Linked DNA regions of Neodiprion lecontei. The protein of the gene in region 2 binds, or shares a complex with, the protein of the main gene of each other region. Links are inferred from orthologs where the notes say so. Each region holds a gene or a part of one and is shown on either strand. Other genes may lie near its edges.

The links.
Region 1: the proteins of protein transport protein Sec31A (region 2) and programmed cell death protein 6 are in contact, whole or in part, in a crystal structure (PDB 3WXA), measured with the Homo sapiens proteins. The link is inferred for Neodiprion lecontei from reciprocal best matches to the Homo sapiens genes SEC31A and PDCD6. Residues at the interface, in NP_001070675.1 of Homo sapiens: Asn837, Pro838, Pro839, Pro840, Pro841, Gly842, Phe843, Ile844, Met845; in NP_037364.1 of Homo sapiens: Val31, Val35, Leu48, Ala51, Leu52, Ser53, Asn54, Gly55, Thr56, Trp57, Phe85, Trp89, Ile92, Gln96, Phe99, Phe148.

What each region holds. Positions count from the first base shown.
Region 1 is NC_060265.1:9,452,359-9,458,996, forward strand, and holds programmed cell death protein 6, read left to right. Parts: upstream 1-1,996; 5' UTR 1,997-2,384; coding exon 2,385-2,440; intron 2,441-2,852; coding exon 2,853-2,959; intron 2,960-3,683; coding exon 3,684-3,991; intron 3,992-4,265; coding exon 4,266-4,367; 3' UTR 4,368-5,990; downstream 5,991-6,638. Other genes in the region: uncharacterized protein LOC107217557, read left to right, coding at 6,540-6,638. UniProt on the Homo sapiens protein: Calcium sensor that plays a key role in processes such as endoplasmic reticulum (ER)-Golgi vesicular transport, endosomal biogenesis or membrane repair.
Region 2 is NC_060260.1:31,677,493-31,682,689, forward strand, and holds the start of protein transport protein Sec31A, read right to left. Parts: upstream 3,249-5,197; 5' UTR 3,032-3,248; intron 2,900-3,031; exon of another isoform or gene 2,877-2,899; intron 2,509-2,876; 5' UTR 2,501-2,508; coding exon 2,298-2,500; intron 2,163-2,297; coding exon 1,840-2,162; intron 1,639-1,839; coding exon 1,541-1,638; intron 1,471-1,540; coding exon 1,225-1,470; intron 1,147-1,224; coding exon 853-1,146; intron 669-852; coding exon 321-668; intron 217-320; coding exon 90-216; intron 15-89; coding exon 1-14. Other genes in the region: protein aveugle, read left to right, coding at 3,766-3,804, 3,902-4,015, 4,168-4,344. UniProt on the Homo sapiens protein: Component of the coat protein complex II (COPII) which promotes the formation of transport vesicles from the endoplasmic reticulum (ER).

The DNA.
Region 1 (6,638 bases), on a different chromosome or scaffold from region 2:
ACTTTGGAATTTTGTCGGTTTAACAATATTGTGAATAATTGAATATGTTCAAACCTCAGGTGAACCCACCACTTAAACGACATCGGTAAATTCAAACGTAGATTATTACATCAGTTACGAAATACAATTCGATCTCGCGATTGTCGAGTAAGCGATGGTTACCTGTCGCGATGCTCATTCCACTTTTAGCAACGCGCAAAATTTCTAACTTTAAGCAGGCTACGGTAAATTAAATTGCGAAAAAAAAATTACTCGACAAAGTCAAGCACGTTGCGACCGTGAATGAGCCTATCCATGCAGCTAAGAAATCCAAGATTCGTGTAACAATTGTTACCGCCACGCCACGTGACATAGGAATCCCAGGGAAATACCCGTAACCTAACACATGCAAACTCACCAACGTTGCCGAGAAATGAAAGAGTTACTCGGAAGTCTCTGCTTAAATCTGTGAAAAACAAAATAGAAGACTTGAATTAATTTTGTAAATTGGCTTTTAGTTTGCAAATTAATTATTATTGTTGTCCAGTTTCATATTTATGCATTGCATGTAATGCAAGAACAAAAGTCCGACTTTAAATGTACCACCTTGAATCAATGGAAAATATCAATCAAGAAATAAAATAAGTATTGTTACCTCGACTCTGGACTGCTCCACGCTTTTACACGTAGTAGTTCTTGTAGCATCTCAGGGTCGTTGGTGAAGCGACGCACGTTTTACACAATTCAGGTCTTCACTAATCTCTTATAATCCACAAAATCCGCACCGCAATAACTCTAGCACTCGATACTACACTCACTTGTTGTGCTGCAGCTGTCTATTTGAACCGACTGAATAAACTTGCTAATAATGCAACTGCGCATTTACCAAAAATCAGCGAAAAAAATAATAAAATTGATATTCCACGCATAGAGACAAACGCGGTCTGAATGTTGAACCGATACTGAGATCACGCGATTTCGGTCCGATTGGTCGGAAACGACTGATGCCGCACGGCGCTCAGAAGAAACTAAAATCAGTTCTCTGAAGGACGGAAGATAATAATTCCCCCGCCCTCTCTGTCGCTCTTCACATGGAGTGGGGGTAGCTGCACGCGCCTGCCTAGCTGTTTTTCCCCTCTTGTAGCCACTACTCGATGAGTAGAGCGACAAAGAGGGCGAGAGAATTATTATCTGCTGTCCTTTAAGGAACCGATTCGTATCTGTTCATGGGACGCTTACACCGTTGCTGACGCTCTATTTTTTAACACGGTGTGCGGTAAGTTCGTTTTACCGTGCCTGCGGAACGTGCGGTAAGTGAATTTTACCTTTACAGCGATCTCTAGAATTATAATAACATACTCCTGCGTACTGTGTATTGACCAGATTATAATCGATGTAAACAAACGCGGCGCTAAGGAGCGAAGGCGATACTCGGATTAATAACATCGATTACAAAAGGTCATATTAGCTTTCCTTTGTGTACCAAAACCACTTTTATCAGATCTTATCGCGAACTTACCACAACTTGTGTCAAAAAATTGTATACATAACTCGTAGGGGCAGGTATCACCTACTTCCTGCACTTGTCACGTAACGTACTATTATATCTATCGTCTCAGCGGCCGGGCGAAAACACCGCGTAAGCTACGCACAACGCGATCAAATGTTTAAAGCATTAGCGTAACATGCAACGTCAGGCGAAGTATGAATTCTCCGACCACTTACGGATATTTCTTGAATGGGATTTTCTCTGCTTTTCAATTTCACTGTGCAACGGTATGTCACCAATGTTTTGCACGCGATAATTGTTAGCAGAGACTACTCATCTCTGGTTGTTAGTTATGAAGAACTTCTTTTACCGACGTGGTTAGTTGCTTGGTTGATAATACGTGAAATTGCTAATACCCCCAAACCTAGCCAGACCCGGCAAACTGTCAGGCAAAATAACCCGGGGTTATCAGTCTTTATATATCCTCAGTCAACGGTCAACCGTATCCTCGAAAGGCTAGGTATCCTCCTTGCGTAGACGCCCATAGTCTGTACGACCGTGGTCCGTCCACAGAGATGCTAATGTATTAGAAGGGTATGCGCATGTGTGAGTGCTTACTTGTCATTGGCTGCTCCGGAGTGTTTCCGGGAATCGTGAGTAACCGAAACGCGCTTCTGAAGTGTGACGTGTATTTCGAGTCATTTCGTGAGTTCCACTTGTTCTGCGATCGCCGATTGTGCGTAGGACATAGGTTAGTAAAGAGTGGTGAAGAGCATTTCCGATTAACAGGACGTTTCTAATTACGCAGTTCTGTGGGCTTGGCTGTATTGTCGGCCTTGTAATTTCAGCCTAAATCGTGCATAGGAAACCGTTTTATTTTGCCCGACTTCGCCTGAGTAAATCAAAAGTAAACAAAATGACGTTCGTTTCGCCGATGCCGAGTCGTGAATTTCTTTGGGATGTCTTCCAAAGGTGAGTTTGTAATCCATTTACAAGGAATACCTACAAACTATTTTTATTGGGAGTTTAACGAGACTTGATATTCGTAATTGATTGCACGTGACGTGTTCTCGACGACAAACTTTCTTTCCTCCCGATTGATATGCGGCGTCATATTACGTTTAAGTGTATCGTCCTTGTATTTTCGAACGCTTAGTAATCTTACTGCTAGAAAATTGGAACGTTTTGAAAATGGGTTTAAATGATTCTATCGTCAACTACTTCACTTTTGTGCTTTCCAATCGCCTCTATTCTTGCGAAAGTGGAACGTGTGAAAGTAATAATATTTCGTGGTCAGTAAATGCCGCTAATGCTTGCCGTTTTAAAACTATTATACATTTTCCTCCAGTTTCCTCTGATACTTATATGTAATTTATTTCTACAGAGTTGATAAAGACCATTCTGGAGCAATAACAGCCGAAGAACTTCAAGTAGCTCTTTCTAATGGAACCTGGACTCCGTTCAATCCTGAAACAGTTCGTTTGATGATTGGTAAGTTTCAAAAAGATGTTACATTTGTTTCATCGTTATGCTGTTCTGTTTTACTGCTTGAAATTAAATTCTTGAAATTAATATGCAAAAATTAATAATATTCATATATAATAATAAATCTTAACTTTATTTTTCAATTACCTGACGTGAAGTTGTATGCATGAATCAATGGTACTGGAAATGAATTTAAACCCTGAAATAGACGGATTTCTGTGAATATTCAAAACAGTCTTGCACTTTTGCTATGCACTTGAGATATACCAGCAAATCAATGTGCAGAAATTATTAAAATCTTTGTGAGATTATGTGCTTTCATTTACTTTGTAATTGCCAAGTCTGGAAACCTGTAGTTAAACTAGAATTTATATACTTTAATTGACATACATTACTAAGAATTGAGAAATAATACTGTCTCCAAATATTATGCAACATGAATGTTATGGTTTTGAGCATGTTTCTGAGAAGCATAGAAATCTCACTACACAGAGTCAAATTTGATATGAAAAGTTGTTGCCCAGGTACCAACCACTGTTACAATAAGTCGTTACTCAAGCATGTGAAAAGAATGTCAGATTTGCTTGGTAGTCAGAAATCATTGTTCGTCATTGACAGCGTGGAGAATGAGTAAATTTTTTAGAAAATATTTGTTTGCAGCATGACAGTGGTATTTTTTCTCATTTAATATGTATGTAATAAGTCAGTCATGATGATTCTCTCCATGCAGGTATGTTTGATATTGACAAAATCGATCCTGCTTCTCCAGGTATGTTTGACAAAAACCAAACTGGAACGGTCAGCTTTGAAGAATTTGGAGCTTTGTGGAAATACGTTACTGATTGGCAGAGTTGCTTTCGTTCATTTGATCGTGACAATAGCGGAAATATTGATCGTGATGAACTCAAAACTGCACTTACCAATTTTGGATACCGTTTGTCAGACCATATAATCAATACGCTTATACGGAAGTATGATCGTGGCGGCAGGGGGACTATATATTTTGACGATTTTATCCAATGTTGCATCGTTCTATATGTAAGCATACTCTGAATTACATTTTGATTCATATATAGTTTGAAAGATAAAATCTCTGCGTCAGTAATGAGTCATTGTACATAAGGACTTATTGACACTCGATCATGTAACTGCTTAATCTTTGCTCAATAATATCACTGAATTTTGGTACCAATAAACTTTTGCAACAGTAGCCAATAAAATACTCTTTTGCATTAATAAAAATAATAAAATCAAATTACAATCATTTTATTATTGCAAGTGTATATTTAATTATTACCGTTTTCACTTACAGACATTGACATCGGCCTTTAGACAGTTTGACACCGATCAAGATGGAGTGATAACAATTCACTACGAGCAATTCCTTGGGATGGTATTTAATCTTAAAGTTTGAAGAAGAATGTATACAGAGTATATGTTCTAAGTATTTTGTGGCACATTCTCATAATTACTATAATATTATTATTTTTAGTATTGTTATATTCAGAAGAATGTGAAACTATTATCAATATCGTTATTGATGTATTTACATCTAGTGCAACTGATCTTATATTTGTGATTAAACAAGTCCCAATTACGTTTTTTTCGCACTATTACACTTATCTAATGTATAAACATGTATTCCAGAAGCTTTCATAGATTACGTTCTTGCATTAATTACATTCACTGCTGTTTCTCCATGCAGTAATGCTACATTATTTTTATATGCAAAATTTTATTAATTATATTATTGGTCGTGGCTAATAACTATTGGTATACATATATGTATATAGGTGATAATACATACACCACTATATCTTTACTAATTATAACTAATCAATATTATTATGCAAATGCCAATTTATCAAATATGTTATCTTTCGTAAGCAAAACCTAAGTGACGAAAATATTACCGTGATATCTCTTGTTCCTCTAGCCTATTAAATTAGGTAAGCATGTTGCGGACTGCTTTAAAAATATGTCGTTAACTTTGGCACACGTTTTAATAAGCATTTACACCAAGAATGTATCAAGTAAGCAAATATGGTTAGATGTAATGAAAAACGATAAAACAAATTTGTATTCAATTTTTTGTGGATTTTAATCGACAAAATGATCGGAATGGTGTTATTTTCAACTTGAGCCAGTCATAATATGATTTAAAAAATTTATATCACGAATCATCGGACACAAATGGATATTTTTTTGAGTACGATTCGGAATTCGAAGTGGAATGTGTGTAAGATTTTTTACAAATGTGTCAGATACAATAAAATCTCTGCCAAACAATTCTAACTACCTGGAAACGTTATAAACTTTGAATTACAGCCTTTGATATTTGCAAATAAAAACTACATGAAAGATGTAGCAAAATTTTATATTATATACATTTAACTTTGTATATGCCACTTTTTTTACAAATACCGGTTGACGATGATACAAATGGTGCCAAAGTGATACTATCGAGCTTGTATTCACTTTCACTATGCATACATTCTCTGATAAGAATTAATGAATTCTCATGTGGATTTTCTAAATATGCTTGAGCTACAAATATAAATGTACAAATAAATGTACAGGAGTTGTTAAATTGTTAGATTTTTTAAAAAAATGTATCGAAATATTCTTGCCTAAAGTTATATTTCGTTTTCAGAGATATCTATGGTTCGAGTTCTAACTTTTTATGTAGCTCACGCAGAGCGCCCAAATGTATATCAGCATTATTATTTAAGAATGACATGTAGTTTCACCATTTATTAGTGAAAGCCTTCTGCGTATAACACTATGTTATATCATTGACCGATTACCAAGATCTAACAATAAAATGTGTCAATGTCAATTATGCCTATGTATAAAAAGAGTACTAACTGAGTAAACAAAAAAAATCACTTCAAAAAATGCTTTTATAATCTTTCTACTCCATTTGTAGTTGTTCCCTATTTCTTATACGTTCATCTATTTTCCAATTATTTTTATAGCTATTTGAAAATATGTAAAATAGCTTTATGAAGAAAATAAATCTTCTCCTTATACGTGATATTCTCAATACCTTCCTTTATCTCTTGATTTTTTTGTTTTATGAAATATTGATTAATTATGTAGGTACCTACTTCTGATCGTTTTGACATGGTAAATTAGTAGCACTTTTGAAGCACCCCACCGTGTCCTGCATGAAATATTGCAAAAATTTTGGAAAAAATTTGTCTTAAAGATGATATTAAAATATGTCTAAATATTGAAAAATCCACCGAGATGAAAAAAGAAAGAGTCCCACTCATTTTTTATTACTACTCGCAAGTCGCGGGCTCATATGCCTATGATTCCGACGTTTGGTGATCACAAGCAAATCACACGGTGATCATTGTATGTGATTGAATGTGTAGGCAGCTGTGTTAGGCAGTGTTAGGTAATTGCGTCATGCGTGGCGCATGCGCAGATCAAGATTTAGGCGGCCGTCATGAACTTGTGTAAACGACGGAACCGTGTTGGGAACCGTGTTGTTCGGTTGTCAAAAGATTACGTTTGAATAAACCCGATTTGACAACTTCGGCTAATGAAACGTTATGATTTACTCTAAATCCGTTAAATGGATTCAGGAGTAAATGTTTCTCGATCTCTTCCGCCACTGGTCGAGGGGAAACTTCACGGCTACTTGAACCTCACCATCGACGAAATTGTCTGGTCA
Region 2 (5,197 bases):
GAGTCCTTCTTCATCTGAAATACCAAGTAATTAGTAAACTACCTTAGACCTGTGAGCTGGTAATTAGATACACATGTAGAAAGTATTACCATCTCCAGTATTGAGTTTGAAATTGGTTTCAATAGGCTTGATCGAAGTTGGAGATTGTCTTGTCTGCTCCTGTTGAGCAATCGCATCAAATGCTGCACTTCCGTCAGTTACATTGCCATTAGAAACCTATTACAACGAGTAATTGTAACTTTCATCTGTTTATGAAAATATTTTATTCATTCAGCACTATGAACATTTTTCAGTTTGTGTCAAGATGGAAAAATACCTACATTATTTAATTTATTTAGTTCAGTGCTTGTTTCAGTTTGTTCTTCAGGTACAAACTTGCTGAGCTTTGTGTTAATCGATTGCGAATCATATCCTAATAATTCTAATATATCTCCAGTGATATTATCTCCAAAATGTGCACCCAAACAACTCCATACTTTACGATTATGATCACTAGTTGCAGTATCAGCTTTTCCTTTGCAGAAATCGCCAAACTGTCCGTTTTGGAGTGCAGCTTCTAAGTGATTTGATCGGTGAATTAATTCTGGATCAGTTATTACTTGTGATATAATGATTCGACCATTCGAATTAGGTGGGTCATTTTCGAATAATGTCAGTTTTCCACCAAACTGAAATTAAACAAATGTCTGTGTAATTGTCAAATTAAACATGGATATTAAAATTTAACACCCTACTGACTACATTTCATATCATCAAAAAGAGTTAAAATGTAAATTGTAAATCGGTAAAACTGAGTATAAGTTAGTTCAACGTACAGATTACACAATTATGTAAAGTACACAGATTACTCACACCAAACGAAGCTCCAACAGGCCTTTTTAGCCATTTAGGAGCTTTTTTCAGATCTACTGTTGATTCATTTTGCAGCAATGGCGGTGCTTGAGCAAAGGCATCCATTCCAGGAAACGAATCAGCAATCTTGTTCGAAGTTTCACTTGAAACTTGTTGCTGACCACCCAAGAGTGAGTAAACAACTGCATGGCCATCAAAACTACTGCCAGCTACTAATCCAGGATTGCGTGGACACCAAGAGACATCAAAGTTCCACTGATTTGTTTGTGCCAACTCACAAAGTACTTCTCCATTCTATGATTGAATGAACACTCATGACTAAATTCAATCAAAGTGTCAAAATATGGCATGCAAAGTTGTAGATAAACTTACAGTCGCCGTTGAGTTTGGGTTCCAACAAAGTATTCTATTGTCTTTGGCACAACTGACCAGAAGATCAGGGTCGTGTAGATTCCAAGCAATTGAAAGAACGCCTCGCTGATGAGCCGCTAAAGTTTTTAGGGGTGATGTGGCAAATCTGAGATCCCAAAGCTGAATTATCGGGCTCTGATCATCCTCTGATGCAAGGCATAACTGTGTTGCAACATCTGGATGCCACTGTACCACTTTCCACCGAACCTGAAGTTAAGATGAGTAATTGGTTGATAGTGTATGACAATTTGATTAACTTGAAAAAAACTAAACCTACCCTTGAGTTTGCATCATTCAGCTTGATTATTGGCTCATTTTTCCGTAGGTCCCAAATCACACATCTTTGAGAGAAAGTGGAAGCGAGAATGTGTTGCACTGAAATAGTAACACTCGATCTTATAATTATCATACTGTTTTCTACAAAAAATTTTGAAGTTAAATCAACAGTTTCAAGTCTGCAAATTACCAGTTTTGGAATTTGAATTGGCTGAGTCGAGTTTGGAAAGGGATTCGATTAATTATAAGTAAGTGAAAATTTACACCTGAGTTTATGATAATATAATTTATACCCTATACCTTGCTTGTTCCATGCAATATACTGGACATCTTCCAGAGGTTGACTTCGAGTTCCCGGAGTCATTGGAGTGTTGGTATTAACGAGATCCCATATGTAAATTTCACTTTCTGTGGCTCCTGTGGCCAATAAATTTGATTGGAAAGGATTAAAATCCATGGCTCGCACAGGACCAGTATGCTTGTCAGGGCTACTGAGGATGCAATCACTTTCATTGGCTAACATCTTAGCCGCTGAATAAATTTTTATAGTTCCATAATCACAACCGCCTACTATTATACCAGCAGGATTGTTGCCGAAAGATCCCCATATGATCTTGTGATACCTTGAAAACAAGAAACACTTTTAAATATCAGTAAGTATCTAAAAATTGAAACATAAGGGAAGATAAGGATAGCATAAATTTATATGGATTTTCAACAATAAGAATATGAAAGGAAGAAAATGATTCAAGGGTAACCTGTGATCACTAGATATCGAAGCTTTAAGATCCATGTCATAGCCGGGTTCTTGTAGATTAAGAGCATATAAATCCAAGCTGGCTGATGTGCTGAAGCTAGCATCTAACTGTTGAGCAGCGGTTCCTGCCGCTAGCAATATCGGATGTTGAGCAGGTGGAGACCACGCCACATTTACAGTGCGTAACAGTTCCTTCACTTTCATCTTGTATACTGATCACCGTAACGAATAAAAATATTAATTGTTTTAAATTAATGACTTTTAAAAAGTTACATAAGCAAATATATGTGTTACACTTCTGGAGATATAAGTACACAAATAATTATCAATAATACAACCAAACGGGTCATGATAGTCTGACTTGTACAACAGCAGACAGTGGTATCAAGTTTTTAATTACTCGGAGTACGAGTAATGAATTCTTAACAATAATTCAAAAATGAAAGATGCAATATTGCTACGCAAGAGATCTGATCAGCTACAGCATTGATGATAGAGCCGTACAGCAATGAATACTGGATGTATCGTTGCAAGATGAGATCACAAACCGTAAATATTTTCCTAATATAAAGTAATACACCTTATGAAAGGTCCAGTTGTCTGGTGGAGGACAGGATTTGATAGTCGACTGAAATGTCATACGGATTAATAAGAACTACCTGACATATGCAGTTAAGAACACAATCTGGGCATAAAATTGAAACGAATAATGATGTAAACAATCCTGTGGCTAACCTTGCTTTCGTTCCGCTCAGTATGAATAATCCTTATAAATATAATTTCGGTAACGTCAGGTAAATTTGATTCACCACCGTCAACACTTCCAACGTGGCGACTGCCGGACTGCCTGTAGTTCGTAGCGCGGCGTAGCAAAATTCAGCGGAAGGCTCCGGCTCGACAACCAGCCACGAAGTGTAGCCGGCTACGACTGGTCGCTACCGTTCGGTGGTAACTTGTGATAGCGCGGCTTCAAATTTAGTTCCTAAAAGCGACACCAGGTGGATCAGTCATATGTTTGTAAACTTTTGTAAACTTGCTCTGACTGTAAATGTCAGGCAGGCACTGAACTATGATACAATCTTACAATTAGAGCGTATAACAGTACAATCTACTGATTCGTATGAATATATTTTTTCAAAATATATCTGTACATTCGTGTGTGTATGATTTGAAGATGATGAAGTCTGATCTGCACAGCAATGAGTAATTAGCACGGGAAACAAACGAGCTCAATTTGATGGTGCAATTTTACTGAGTACACTGTGGTCAGTACAGTTTCCTCTGCAATTATCATGTATAATTCTATTTTTAGATTACGGCAAATATTGAGTCTAAATTGCCGTATTCTACATTTTCTGAAATTAAACGATTATTTTACAATTAACACCGTTATTAAAATAATTTCTGCTATCCCCCAGGTGATCTCGTTGCTGTAAACAATTATTGTTTCTAACCCTAAAATTTCAATAATGGTTGAGGAGAGCGTGAATTCTTATAACAAACCGAAAGTAAGAGTTACGTTGCATCCTTGGAATTACAAGTTATAATATTTTATTAAGTGTGAGAATGTTTTCACATGCCTTAAGTATTCTCTCTGTGATTCAGAATAAAACTGCGCGGCCCCGTCCAGTTTACTTGTGGAATGTCTTAGATGTACAGAAGTGGTTGCGGAGACACTGTAGCGATTACTATCAATTGTATCATGAAAAGTTTTTGTATGTAAGTGAGAGAATATGATAGCACGTAACGTCCGACTTATTGTATTATGTATGTAATTTTGACTTTAGGGAATAATTCATTGATTTCAAGCATATTATATTTGAATATAACAGATGCGGTCCTAATTCCTGTGTTGTTTTCTCTTTATACAGCATGATATAACTGGCAGAGCGCTTCTGAGGGTCAATGAGAACATTTTACTGCGATTGGGAATCGTGAATGAGGAACACAGATCGGATATATGGAGAGAAATTATGAAATTGCGATTAAAAACGGACATATTGGAGATTAGAGATATTGAACGTAGAAATAATACTAATTATGATTGATATTGAGATTGTGTCGACAATTACTATCATTAGAATTAATGTTTTTATCAGTCACTTTGTACCTTTCATTGAATATTCCCTCTTTCACTGATATTGTACATCTAGGGAATGAGCAAAGCGATCAATATTTCGATGGATGAAAAATCGTTTCACACTTTGAATACCGATTTCACCCATTTTCATGTACAAACTAACATATTAATTAGTAAAACATATTTTTGTACCTAGTTGTTTGATAAAAAGTTATTTTATTACTACCATTGATGAGTATTTTAACTAAAAATATTACCAGGGGATCGAAATGTAATTGAAACCACAAAAACTTACTGTTTTAGACATGTTCTTTAGAAAATTCTAAATGAAAACTGCGGCGCAATGAGCCTTAGTAAATAGGAAGTTACATATGCTTTATAAATGTACCAAGCATTATTCATATAATATGAAAGCTGTATTGATCATAGGCTGATTTTCAGATACTTGTTTGCCGATATTTTTAATAAATCAAAAATTGATGGTCAATGAGACTAAAAGTTTGTTATCCCTGTCCAGCAACGTAACACTAAGTGTAATTAAATGATCAGTAAATTATTTAGGCCAGAACAAAATATAGGCCAAGACAGCAGCACAAGTTAAAACGAAGTCTTCGGAGTCGCTTCATTAGTTGAAAAGGCTTGATCCATTCTTGCTCGAACCATTCTGCTTGACTATAAATAGTCAGCAAGGTATTGCACAGTAACAGACCGTAAGAATCTATGTAGTCCACGTCTCTACTAGCGCGGCTCGCACGCGTTAATACTCGCGAGTGAAAACGGAATTATTGTGTTTTATTTGTTCCAACAATAGAACTTCGCAC